Linked DNA regions of Coturnix japonica. The protein of the gene in region 1 interacts with the protein of each later gene in a biochemical or structural test. Links are inferred from orthologs where the notes say so. Each region holds a gene or a part of one and is shown on either strand. Other genes may lie near its edges.

Region 1 (4,272 bases):
TTCATTTAAATACAGAATGTTTTATTTCTCTGTAGTCATTCAAAGCAGCAAATCCTTTTCTGTTTCCTCAAAGACTTGATTACAGAAAAAGCCGTGCTTATTTGGAAGTACATCCACTGGGAAATTAAGGTATTTTCCTTTGTGTTTATACAGTCACTGATCATTATAGCAGGAAATTGTCCCTTCTGGGATGGGTATATAACCAAGAAGAGTGTCAAGTTTTAATTAATGACTTTGTGTATATTTTCTTTCATTCACGGAGCTAACAAATCAACCTGCCTAACCTCACTGATTACTTTTTGAATCCAGTATGTAGATTTTTAATAGAAATACTTATATCTGAAAAATGAATCTGAAAGTGACACTTTGTAATAAGAAATGTAAATAAGCCAATTAATGAATTCTGGAATCTTAGGGGGGTACACCATTAAGAATGAGGTGAATTTCATCTTAATAGTTTTAATCAGTTTTAAATGCAAAGCATGTTTAAAGTTTTCCTTACATCTTCCATTAGTGATGGTCAGGATGCTTTCTGTACACAGCTCTTCTCCATCTCTCCTCCAGCATTTACTAGTTAAAAGGAATACAGTAACTAATGCCATAAGTATTTGTGCGTTAGGGTGAGAGAAGAAAGTTGGGCAGGAGGGCCCACAGAAAGAGAGACATCCTATTTTGCATCATTGTGCTGTGCAGTGGGGTAAAGCATGTATAGGAAAAGGAGATATTCATTCCAAGGGAAGACAATTCCTCTTGAATGAGAGAAGCTCAATGAAGATGGGGTGAGAATACGACAAGTGTTTTGAGGATCTGGTTTGTTTCTATTTTCTGAGACCAACCTGGGGAAGGTTCCTCCATCGTTTCTGTGGAGTTAAACCGAGATTAAATTGAAATGTGAGCGTGGATTGTTTAGAGAATAAATAAATCAAACCAGGGAAGGAGCTGCCGGAGCACTGGGCTCACCCTCCTGGTTAAACACGGGAGTGGCTGCACATTAGAACCCTCATTTAAGCTGCCTTTAAACCCTCAGCCCATGAAGGCTCCGCACCCATCCCTGCATCGCCGCCATAGTGTCTTTATCAGTAGAATTTGATAATTCCTGCCCTTGGTTTTTCACACAGAGCTTTGGCCTGATGACACCTTGCTTTGTGCTGTGTTATGGGTACTGACAGGAGATCATTGTTGTCCCATCAATATATAAGTGCTTATTTATGGCAATGCCTAATGATGGCAGAATGGAGGGGAAGATAAGCCATGGTTGGTATTAAGGCGCTATATACGGTGCAGTTCAATGGACAGACCATGGCCGGATGCTGCTCAGAGGTTTAAAGACCCGACATGTTTCGTTACATTAAACGTGAATGTTCCAAACAAACCCACAGCGACACGAACCCCCTGCAGGCGGGATGGCCCCGCCCCCTCCTGGCTCTGCCCAATGACAGCTCAGGGTCGACTCCCCATCCTCCAATCAGAGACGCGGGTGGTGGCGGTGGGCGGGTCCTATCGAGCTGAGGCGCAGTGGCCGGCCCCGCCGTGTTCTCGGGCCGGTTGTCGGGCACGGCTGACTCCACAGCGCCTGAGGTAAAAGTTCCGCCCGTGTTTCCGTGGCGGCTCGTCGTTGTGCCGGGCCGTGCTCGGATCCGCTCCGCCTCGTGTCGTTCCCCGCTCAGGCGCTGTCGGGCCGCCCGCAGGTCCTGCCGAACCGCGCCTGCGCAGCGGGACGGACGGGTCGGGCCGAGGGACACACGGCGATAAAGCGAACGGCACCGAGAGAGGGAGGGGGAGAGAGGAAGGGAGAGGGAGGGAAACTCCGGAGCAGAGACAAAGGGGGGGAGCGGAGCCGGGAACATCCGGGTCATTCGCCGCTGCCTCAATCCGGGACACACGCGGGTGCTGCGGCCGAGCACGGTGAGGCCTGGCCGGGAGCGGGGCCTGGGGCGGCGGGGCCCGGCCCGGTGCGGCCCGGCCCGGTGCGGCCTGGTCCGGTGCCTCGCGTTGCGGCGGTTCGCGGGCACGGCGGTTCCCGGCGGTTCCCGGTCGGCGCGGCCGGGCCTGACGGCGTCTGGCTGCCCAACTCGGGACGGCTCCGCTCTGTCCCTGCGCCGCGGCCCGCTCAGCTCTCGGCCGCCTACGGGGCGCACTCGGCGGCTGAGCTGCGTGCGCCGACCGGCTGCGCCCAGCGCTCCCCGCCCCGCCAATAGCTCGCCCGGCACACACAGGCCTCGGCCGCTCCGCGGGGCTCGCGAGACCAACGGCGGCGGCGGCGGCCGGGACAGCGCTGCGCCGCTCCGTGCTGGGCCGCCCCGCGGTTCCTTTTGTTGTTCTCGGAACTACCGTGCGGGTCGGTGCCGCCTGAGCCGCTTATTGCGCTGCAGACTTTGTGCGGCAGTTTTAGGCGCTGCGATTTGGTTCCACCTCAACCATTGAGTTTCTCTGACTGGAAAGGAAAGGAAAGGAAAGGAAAGGAAAGGAAAGGAAAGGAAAGGAAAGGAAAGGAAAGGAAAGGAAAGGAAAGGAAAGCTGCCCCGGCAAACAGCGCAGGTTTAACGATCCTTACAGCGTCTGCTTCTGATTCGTAATGTAATCGGTCTTAACGATTTGATTCATGTATTGATTTTTGAATGAATGGAGAATGAAGGAGCACGTTGTGTATATACAGATTTGTAATGGGGCAGGGATGCAGGCGCGGTGATCACTGTGCTATGGGAGCACTGTGCTGTGCTGGGGCTGCTGGATGGATGGCACAGCAGTGTGGGCTGGGTTTGGTCCCAGTGCAGGTAGTGCCAGCAACAGAGCTGAGCTACCAGCACTCTGGGAAGTTTCTAGTGAGTTGGTAGTGATAAATGGGCCGTTGGTACCTCCTGGTGCTGGTGTGTGCAGGAGGGAATAGTGCTAAATTGAATGGGAGGACAGAGATGGATTTTCTCCAGCTTAGAACTTGGTGTTCTTTCTAATGATGGACCTCTCCCATACAGTAAGTTGGGACTTAATTGTGTTCATTCAGTCACCTTCTCAGGTGAGGGAAGGAAAGTCAATGGGATGCAATATCTGAAACAAGTGTAAAAAAAAAATCCATAAACCAAGTGTTTAAAATCTGTTCCGTGGTGGCCGTTGTTCACCCTCCTGGAGTCACATGGGAGAACTGTGCAACTTTGAGATCAAAAACCTGTAGGAAAACTGCACCTCCCTCCCCCCAAAAAAATCTGGATTTCTGGTAAGGTGAAAATGAAGTTTGGATAGGGTTGGTTTGCTGGCTCAGTGCAGTCAGTCCATCTGCTGCACTCTGCCTGAAGATGATAATTGCAGTTATTTAAGTCCTGCCTGAGACATTGGAACCGGAGTCTTGCAGAAGAGGGAGAGCAAATACAGGCATTAGTTCAAGCTCAGACGGGGCTGAGCTGTTCTGTCCCAGTTGTGTTCAACATTACTAAATAATGAGGTGAAGTTTGACTATTGCTTGACATAATGAAAAACAAAAGTTCAAACCAAGAGCCACTAAACTTCATGTAGTTGTGGTAAGTTAAAAGTATCAGCTAATGATCAGCTAATGATTACTAATACATAAAACAGTGTAATAGAACTGATTTCTTCAAGGTGTTTAGGAGTCTCACTCTGGTTAGATGTGCCAGAAGTGACTGCTGTTAAATCCCTGGCAAGTATCAGTGTTTATCGGATTTCCATTACGTGGCCTTAATATTCAGGGGACTGGAATGGCAAATATTAAGTAGACTAAATATACGTACCTGGCAGCTAATTTGAGAATACAAATGCTTATCTCTTGGTCAGGGCTATCTTGATATCTCCTTGTTAATCATGATTGTAAAGTGTTCGGATTTGGTCTCCAGGTGCTAAAAGCACAGCTGAAATTCTGTCACATGTTCGTTGGTTAATTAAAATCTCTAGGAGGGGTGTGAGCTCATGGAATAAAATTCCTCCCCTTATAGTTTTGTTCTGGTTTCTCTTGGGATGCTCTGCTTCTCTTGCTGGACAGTTGGCTGAAAGCTGAAGTGTTATCTATGGTTCTGGTGTGAAGTCCTGCAAGTGTTCTTACATAACCAGGACACTGGTGTATGTATTGGGAACATGAGAATGAGTGCAGGCTTCTTTTGTGTGTGTTTACTGCACAGAGCATTAATGGTGCCTTCTAAAAAGCTTTAACTCTAGTTACGTTCTAGCAGGGATTGTACTATTGAAATGATGGACTGTGGATGTGCAGGCTGATCTGACTTAGGGAAAAAGAAGGGAGAGGAGAGAAGGAAGAAGGGTTTTTAAGGA
Region 2 (3,956 bases), on another chromosome or scaffold:
ATGTATAGATATATATACACACTGGTGAACTCCTTATTTATTTACATAAGATTTAGCAGATTCCACATACACATCCATGGCCAGTGTGCTCCCAACCTCCCTGAGATGCAGATCTGCACAGAGGGATAAATATGTTGCTAAACATCTAGGCATGTTCATTTCATGAACTTTATGTTGCATTTGCCAATGAAGACATCAAAGGAGCCCAGCTTTGTATGCAGTGAATAGGAGCTTGTGGCAGTTCAGCTGTTACCTGAACCCCCTAAACAGGGTTTGACTAGGAGTGCAGGAAGTGGAGGTCCTCTGAGTGGTATGATTTCATACATCTGGGAATGCATGCAGTGCATACCATTGCGCTGTCTGGCACTGGTATTATTTGCTTTTTCTGCCACTCCATCACCCCCCACTAGCTGAATGTGATTCTTCTCAAGCTGCTTGCGTAGCCACTTCTGAAATGGAGCCAAGATCAAATTCCCTGATGCCACTAACAATGTTCACTTTAACGGACTCTCTTCTTTGAAGTGCTTTCACTGCTCATCTGTAGTCAGAAGCAGCTTGAATTTGTTCAGCTGAAACTCACAGATATTTTAGAGAGTCTTGATGGTGAAGAAACCCATTCCAGGACCTGAGGGATTCTGTTTCAGGACCACAGTGCAGTGTTCATAGCCCTCAGACTCTAAGGAGAGCACCTGTTTGAGTGAGCTGTGTGCAGAAATGTTTTGCTCTAACTGATATTTCTCAGGTTGTCATGAGTAATCATGAATAGCTTTGCATATATATTTCAGCCCTGGAAAGCTATTTCAGCATGGAAGGCTGAAATAAAAATGTACAGCTCTGTGTACAAAATCGTGCCATCTACCTTCTGCTGTAGTGAATGACAAGAATTCAGGACAGGAAAATAACACAATGGGAAACTTTTTACTTACCTTTAGGGGGAAAAAATATCTGAACAACAGCCCCTGCCTTCCAAGCCCCTTCCTCCCCCCCCCCCCCCCCCACTTCTAAAGAAAGAAGAGAAAAGAAGAGAAGCAGCTAAGAAAACCCAAATAAAGCAGAACACAAATTGCAGAGAGAGAAGATGGCAAACAGTATTTTGTAAAGCTGATTTATTTGGTCTGAATTTTAAGAAAGGTACTGTGTTCCAGCACTGTAGCTTTAGAAATCAAAACTCTCTTGTAGCATTTTATAGGTTCTACAGAGTCTCTGCTCAAACCATGCAGTTCAGCCAGTTCCATTTTTTTTTTTCCTTTGGAGAGCAGAATTTGCAAAATTTCTTTCTGTATTTAATAGGAAAATCGACAATGATGATAAAATTTAAACTTTTTTTTTAAATTATTATTATGTTGTTATTGTTTTTATGTTTTGGGGGAGTGTAAAACTTTAGGGAATCTCTGTGTCCTTTGTGTTACTTCATATTGGAAGAATAGTTTTAACACAGAGATACAATGTGACTAATGAGAAGATCATTTAATCTGCTACTCGTTGGGTTTTTTAGCTGCTTAGGAGATTTTTTAGATTGGTATTTTACAGAAGGATAATAATGTTCATTTTTAATCAACCTGGAAATAGCAGGCAATAAATACCTCCATAACTGAAGCTTCCTGTTAGGTGACTACTATAACTTCTTTCTTAATGCCGTACAGATCTTTTTGCATCTAGCAGCTTGTGTCCACTGGGAACACTGATTTATTTACATTTTTAACATCATGAAAGAAAACTCATAATAATTTCACTTGAAGATAGACTAAATTATGACTCCCAGGGAGCCAGAAATAACTGTGAAAGGGTTTTTAAAAATGCAGTTACATGGATGGTGAGAACATTCACATTTAGTGAAGGTAAAGAGTTATTTTGTCCTAACAGGCATGACAAAACCTGTCTTCATTCCTTTCTGTTCAGCTCAGCAAGTGCTTCTGTGCTCCAGTAGTTAATCAGTTACCAGATTCCACAGCTTTTGTTTTCACACTGTTTAATTTTTCTTATTTGACACCATACTTGTGAATGGATTCACTTGCTGATACAGGTACAACCTTCAGGTTTGCCTGCTCTTTATGCCTAGGATTGCTTTTTGTTGCTGTTGCCACCACCGTTACCTGGTATGTTCTAAACAGGAAAACTTCTGGTAATTATGTAGAAAGGAAGCGGTAAGAATGACAAGCACATTTCCTATTTTACCAGGAAGCCAATTCTCAACATGTAAATCTAGTTTTAATTAACTCACCTCATAAAACTGAATAATTAAATAAAAACAGTAATCCAACATGAACCAGTAATAGCACATCTTGCTGTAGTCGCACTACACCTCTTCACAGCAAGAAGACTTAGCTTACATACGCTGTATGAAAGAGGAGACCAAGAGGTAACACTCAAGTGACACACTCTATGTACTAACTCATTGGCAGTGAAGTTTCTCTCTCAGTCCATGCACGGTCCCTTAAACTGCCTCCAGTAAATACTCCAGCAGACAGATGTTGAGCTGAGCACAAGAAGGGTCAAAAAGCTGCTCTCCCCAAAATCCTGTCACCAAGCACCACAGAGGCTGGCAGTACCCAGACACCTTAAGGAGATCATATATGTAAGAAGCCATTATACCATTTTAAGCATCAGATAATTTTTTTTTTTTCTTAAGGTTATCTTAAATTAATTTTAAATAAAGGCTTTCAAAACTCACCCTTCTCTTTGAATTGTGCAAAGTTCTGCTCCTGATCGGGGTGATAAATGTTTACTATTGACTTCCCCTCCAGCTATAAACCTCAAGCGTAAGTAAGATGAGGAAGCCACCGTGGACCACACTAGAGAGTGCCGAGAGGAGATCTGCTGCTCCTAGGATATATACAATGTGCAATGGATAACCTAATATGCCTTTCATTTAACTGGCTGGGCAGGTTTCTGCATTCTGGAGAGTGTGGAATCATACCAGAATTTGTTGGCATAACAGGCTCGTCTGACCGGTTCCTGGGGCGCCGGGAACCAGCACAACCAGTTTGCATCAAAGGCCGCCCAACATGCTGCAGCTCAGCACTGGGGAGGCTTCGTGCCTCACGCCTCCGTCAGCTCGCGGCGTGCTGCTCAGAGGGAATGATGTAGCCTCCAGCAAAATAATTTACAGAGGGGTGAGGGAGTGATACATTCATGGTAAGTGTAGCAAGACTGTGGTGTTATAAAATTTCTTTCGTTTTATGTGCTGATGCACTGGGCTAGAGGTCTTGCTCAGTGTGACTGCAAAAGGAAATTTGTCAGAAAATACCTTTTTTGTAGTACTAACACCAAATCTTGAGTGTGAAAAGACAGAAACTAGGCTCCAATTCAGCCTTGCTTCGTAGAATCACAGAGTTGTTTGAGTTGGAAGGGAGCTTTAAAGGTCATCTAGTCCCCTGCAGGTTGCTCAGAGCCCCTCCAACCTGACCTTGAATGTCTCCAAGGATGGGGCATCCACCACCTCTCTGGGCAACCTGTTCCACTGCTTCACTACCCTTACTGTAGAAAACTTCTTCCTTACATCCAATCTAAATCTCCCCTGTTCCAGTTTGAAACCATTTCCTCTTTTCCTATCACCACAGATCTTGCTGAAGGGTTTGTCCCCTTTTTTTGTTCTAACCCCCATTACAGTCCTGCTCTAAGTACTTAAGCATATCTACATGTATGTATAGAACTCTGCATAGCTTTGCTATATGTTAGGGACAGGATCCTGGGAGCCTGCTTGTGAAATGCACACCTCACGCCTTCCATGGAGGTCTGGGTTAGTATAAGCTGCTCTGAATTACCACACATGATATTTCAAGGTGAAACAAATTGCAGAACACCGAGGGTATGGGACATGCTTCCATAACCATGAGGAACTACTGGTGAGGCAACACCCTTCTCTGAAGGATACAGAAGCCGCTCTACTACAATTGCACACAGGCTGTAAGCAGCAGCTGTGCTGCTTCATATTCATGGCTGGGAGGCAAGAATAC
Region 3 (4,226 bases), on another chromosome or scaffold:
GCGGGCGGCAGGCCAAGCACTACGCCTGCATCAAGAGGAGCGACGGCTCATGCGCCTGGTACCGCGGCATGGCCCCCCCCAAGCAGGAGTTTCTCGACATCGAGGACCCCTAAGCCAACCGAGTGCATTCCAGTAGCCAGTAGGAAAGCCCAGCGAGATGTTAGACTGGTCCACGCTGACATCGGGGCCTGGAGACAGCATGAAAACCCACACAGCCCCGAGGGGCCGCAGGGCATGGAGCTGCCGTGTGTGCATGGGGCGGGGGGGGGGCTCACTGCAACCGTGCATACCCTGCAATACCTGCACCCTGCGACCCCATTCCCTGCAGGCTGAATGCTGATGAGCTGCCCTCGGTCTGCAGGGGCACAGCTGCCAACTGGAGCTACCCAGCACCAGCACCGTGCCGTCCTCCATCCCATCCCTTGCTGTGGGGTGCCAGAAGGGTGCAGCTTGGCACCAGCTGCTCCCACCTGCAGGAGCCATGGGGCTCTCACCCACTGTAGCCCTTAGGGGCCGAATGGGGTTCACCCCTCGGAGGAGAGGGGGATGGCTGCAGGACACCGACCCCACACCCCCCCTCTCTGAGCCATTTCCCCATACACACGGCCGGCCCCAGCTCGGGGTATTTCATGCTGTACATCCCCATAGGGTGACGATGTGGCTCTGGACCAGTCTGGGCAACTTGAAGGTGTTAAAAGAAACAGTGAAAGAAAGGAAAGAAAAAAAAAAAACAAGAAAAAAAAGAAAAAAAAAGAAAAAAAACAACCCCAACCAACCCCACCCAGCCTCTAATCAGTCCCATATAGGACTCCCGTTCGCTTCTGTATGGTTATATCATATGTGCCATTTACTCCTGTCTCTGCTGGTAGCCTGTCTCTGAGTTTAATACCCCCCACTGTTCTGCCATCAGCTCTATCATTCCCGTGCTGTGATTATTTTGTCGTTTGTTTGGTTTATTGTTTATTTTTGTCGGGGGTTTTTGGGTTTGATTTCGGGGTTTTATTTCCCCCTTTAGGCGTTAGAATTGCACTTATTTTTCTAAAGGGGCTCCACAGTGGGGCAAAAAGGGGGGGGTTGGGGGGGGGGGGGGAATGATGGAGGGGCTGTGGGGCAGCGCTGGGGCAGGCCCCAACCCCCGGCCCCCCCTAAAGCCCCCCCTTGGAGCCGCTTTAATTTATGGCCGTGGCTCTGCTTTGGGGTCAGCAGCTCGATGTGGTGTTTAAAAAAAGGAGGGGAAAAAAAAGAGGTTAAAAAAAAAGAGACAAAAAAGTTTACGTATAGTTATTTTCAGATCTCTGCTTGATAAGTATTAAAGTCAGATGTATCTAACGTGCTGCCGTGATTTAAAGCTGGGCTTGGGGGGTGGGTTTTTCTTGTTTTTTTGGGGGGGGGCGTGGCCATGTGATTATAGGGGCGTGCTTTGCGTTAGACCCTGCCCCCATAATGGGGGTGGTGCGGAAGTGGTTCGTGTCGGCGGCGCCACGCGGGAGCCGCCCATTGAAGGCGGTGACACGTGCGTGGACGGGACCCGGATGGTGCGTGTGGACCGGGCCGGGCCGGGGGGACGGGGCTGGGTGTACGGCGGGTGGTTCGGGGGGGGCGGGGGAGGTTCGGAGCCCGCGTGGTCTGTGCCGCATCTCTGCGCTGCGTGGGGCCGCTGCGGAGCGACGGTACCGGGCGGGGCGGCACGTGGTGGCGGGGCTCAAGGTCGCGGGTGGCGGTGGGGGCCGGGGATGGGGGAGAACGGAGCTAAATGGGGCTGAATGGGGCCGGATTCGGCCGCTCCTCGTGGCGCCCCCCGCTCACCCCCCCTCCGCCCATCCCCCAGCCCGGCCCCGCGATGCCGATCGTGGAGAAGCTGCGGGAGGCGCTGAAGCCGGGCCGCAAGGAGCCGAGCGAGGACGGGGAGCTGGGCCGGCTGCTGGCCGCCTCGGCCAAGAAGGTGCTGCTGCAAAGGATCGAGTTCGAGCCTGCGAGCCGTGGGCTGTCCGGGCAGCTGGAGCTGCTGCGGGGCAAGTACCGCCCGCTCAACGCCAGCACCGGGACCAACGCGCCCCGCCCGCCCCCACCGGAGGGGCCCAGCAGGAAGCACGGTGCGTGCCTCTCCCCAGGCAAATCGGAGTGTGTATATGGGGGGGGTCCCGGTGAAGCCCTCCGCTCACCGCCCTCCATCCCTCAGGAGGCGATCACGGACCCGGGGATGGTGTCCCCGCCCCGCAGAAGGTGCTGTTCCCCGCAGAGCGGCTCTCCTTGAAGTGGGAGCGTGTCCAGCGGGTGGGCGCCGGGCTGCACAACCTGGGCAATACCTGCTTCCTCAACGCCACCCTGCAGTGCCTCACCTACACGCCGCCCCTCGCCTGCTACCTGCTGTCCAAGGAGCACAGCCGTGCCTGTGAGTGGGGTGTGGGATAGTGCTGTAGGGCTGGGGGGGGGTTATATATGGGGGGAGGGCTGCCCTGGGCTGGGTTGGCCCCCAATGGCTGCAGAACTGCCTGGGGTGGTTCCTGGTGGCACGGCCCACAGCCTGTCGTCAGTGCCCCATTCATAAAGCTCAGCTCTGCCCTATATACAGACCTGCTGGCTTGTCTGGGAGGTGCTGGTGCCCTGTGTGCCACCCTTACAGATGGGTGTTCTCATCTGCAGCGTTATCTGTGACCTAGGCACTGCCAGCTGGTGTGTCATATGCTTGTCCTTGTCCCCTGGGCTGCACTGTGCTATAGCATTGAGCTCATGGGGAGGGCTGTGCTGCATGGCCACAGGGGTTCCCCTTCTCTCTCACCCCCTCCATCCCTCCTGCCTTTGTCCCCAGCGTCCTTTCTTCTCTCCTGCAGGTCACCAGGGAGGTTTCTGCATGATGTGCGTTATGCAGAACCACATGATCCAGGCTTTTGCCAACAGCGGCAACGCCATCAAGCCGGTGTCCTTCATCCGAGACCTCAAGAGTAAGGATGGGTCCTTCCACGCTGTGCTCCCCTGCTGTGACTCACGAGGCTGGGGCAGGTCCTGGCAGTGAGTGGCTCGGAGCTGATTCATGGAGGCTGAGCTGCCGCAGGACCACATGGGGCTGCCCCACAGCTTGGCTTTGGGGGGGGGCATAGAGGCTCTGTATGCAGGATTTGAGCCCTTTTTTCCCTGCAGAGATTGCCCGGCACTTTCGCTTTGGCAGCCAGGAGGATGCACACGAGTTCCTGCGTTACACCATCGATGCCATGCAGAAGGCCTGCCTGAGCGGCTGCACCAGGTACACACAGCTCTGAGTACTGGGGTACTGAGGCCATCTCTGCTCCATGATACAGCCCTGGGCTGTGCCCTGCTGTGGGGCTGAGACCCAGGGCACCAGCACTGCATCCACCTTCAGTGCAAGGCTCTGAGCTGCAGCTGGGAGCAACCATGCTTGGAGAGCATTGGGTACACACAGCCTGGTGCTCCCTGAGCTCAGGCACTGGGATCCACAAAACAGCAGAAGCACTGCATCTTCCCTGTCCTTATCACAGTCTGTGGTTGGTGCGGGACACAGGGGTGGCCTTTGCATTGTGGTGTGGAAGAGCAGTGATAGATGTGGTGTTTCTCTTCCAGGTTGGATCGCCAGACCCAGGCCACCACGCTGGTTCACCAGATCTTTGGTGGCTACCTGCGGTCCCGTGGTGAGTGCTGCTGCTGGGCTGCTGTTACCCCAACAGCTCTGCACTAAAAATCATTTGGGAAAATGGCCAAGCATGTGTAAATCACCCAAAGCTGTGCTTTGCCACTCCTGCCATGCCTGTGGGTCTTGGCTCCTGTTGTGGCAACACAGAAAGCTGTTGGCTGCGGGTCCTTGGCTCTTTGTCACTCATTGAAGGAACCAACGCTTGCAGCTGTTGAGCAACAATTGCTATGCCAGCAGCCTTCCTCCCTGCCAAGCTGCAAATGCCCAACAGAAATGTTGGTGCTGGCATCCCAGAGCCCAGACCCATAGAGGGGCAGCGCTGCAGCTGCTGAATGGCAGGTGCAGATGTAGCAGGGTGCACTCACTGCTCTTTCTTTTGCAGTGAAATGCTCCGTGTGTAAGAGTGTCTCAGATACCTACGACCCCTTCCTGGATGTGTCCTTGGAGATCAGGGTATGTCAGTGGGCACTGTGTTATGGTGTAGTGTGGACAGGTCACACATGCCCTGAGCTCTGCCCTGTCCTTGCAGCAAGCTGCAAACATCGTGCGGGCGCTGGAGCTGTTTGTGAAATCAGACATG

Evidence for each region. The genes of interacting proteins can lie anywhere in the genome.
Region 2: the proteins of UBE2I (region 1) and RBBP8 form a complex in vitro, tested with the Homo sapiens proteins (2 studies listed by BioGRID, with this or other methods). The link is inferred for Coturnix japonica from reciprocal best matches to the Homo sapiens genes UBE2I and RBBP8.
Region 3: the proteins of UBE2I (region 1) and USP36 form a complex in vitro, tested with the Homo sapiens proteins (2 studies listed by BioGRID). The link is inferred for Coturnix japonica from reciprocal best matches to the Homo sapiens genes UBE2I and USP36.

Annotation. Positions count from the first base shown.
Region 1 is NC_029529.1:7,278,610-7,282,881, forward strand, and holds the start of UBE2I (SUMO-conjugating enzyme UBC9), read left to right. Parts: upstream 1-1,462; 5' UTR 1,463-1,578; intron 1,579-1,771; exon of another isoform or gene 1,772-1,905; intron 1,906-2,299; exon of another isoform or gene 2,300-2,577; intron 2,578-4,272. UniProt on the Homo sapiens protein: Accepts the ubiquitin-like proteins SUMO1, SUMO2, SUMO3, SUMO4 and SUMO1P1/SUMO5 from the UBLE1A-UBLE1B E1 complex and catalyzes their covalent attachment to other proteins with the help of an E3 ligase such as RANBP2, CBX4 and ZNF451.
Region 2 is NC_029517.1:92,769,112-92,773,067, reverse strand, and holds the start of RBBP8 (DNA endonuclease RBBP8), read right to left. Parts: upstream 2,806-3,956; 5' UTR 2,672-2,805; intron 1-2,671. UniProt on the Homo sapiens protein: Endonuclease that cooperates with the MRE11-RAD50-NBN (MRN) complex in DNA-end resection, the first step of double-strand break (DSB) repair through the homologous recombination (HR) pathway.
Region 3 is NC_029533.1:4,609,262-4,613,487, reverse strand, and holds the start of USP36 (ubiquitin carboxyl-terminal hydrolase 36), read left to right. Parts: upstream 1-1,421; 5' UTR 1,422-1,532; coding exon 1,533-1,535; intron 1,536-1,565; exon of another isoform or gene 1,566-1,670; intron 1,671-1,828; coding exon 1,829-2,093; intron 2,094-2,179; coding exon 2,180-2,392; intron 2,393-2,831; coding exon 2,832-2,942; intron 2,943-3,138; coding exon 3,139-3,241; intron 3,242-3,576; coding exon 3,577-3,644; intron 3,645-4,028; coding exon 4,029-4,099; intron 4,100-4,175; coding exon 4,176-4,226. Other genes in the region: TIMP2 (metalloproteinase inhibitor 2), read left to right, coding at 1-113. UniProt on the Homo sapiens protein: Deubiquitinase essential for the regulation of nucleolar structure and function. Required for cell and organism viability.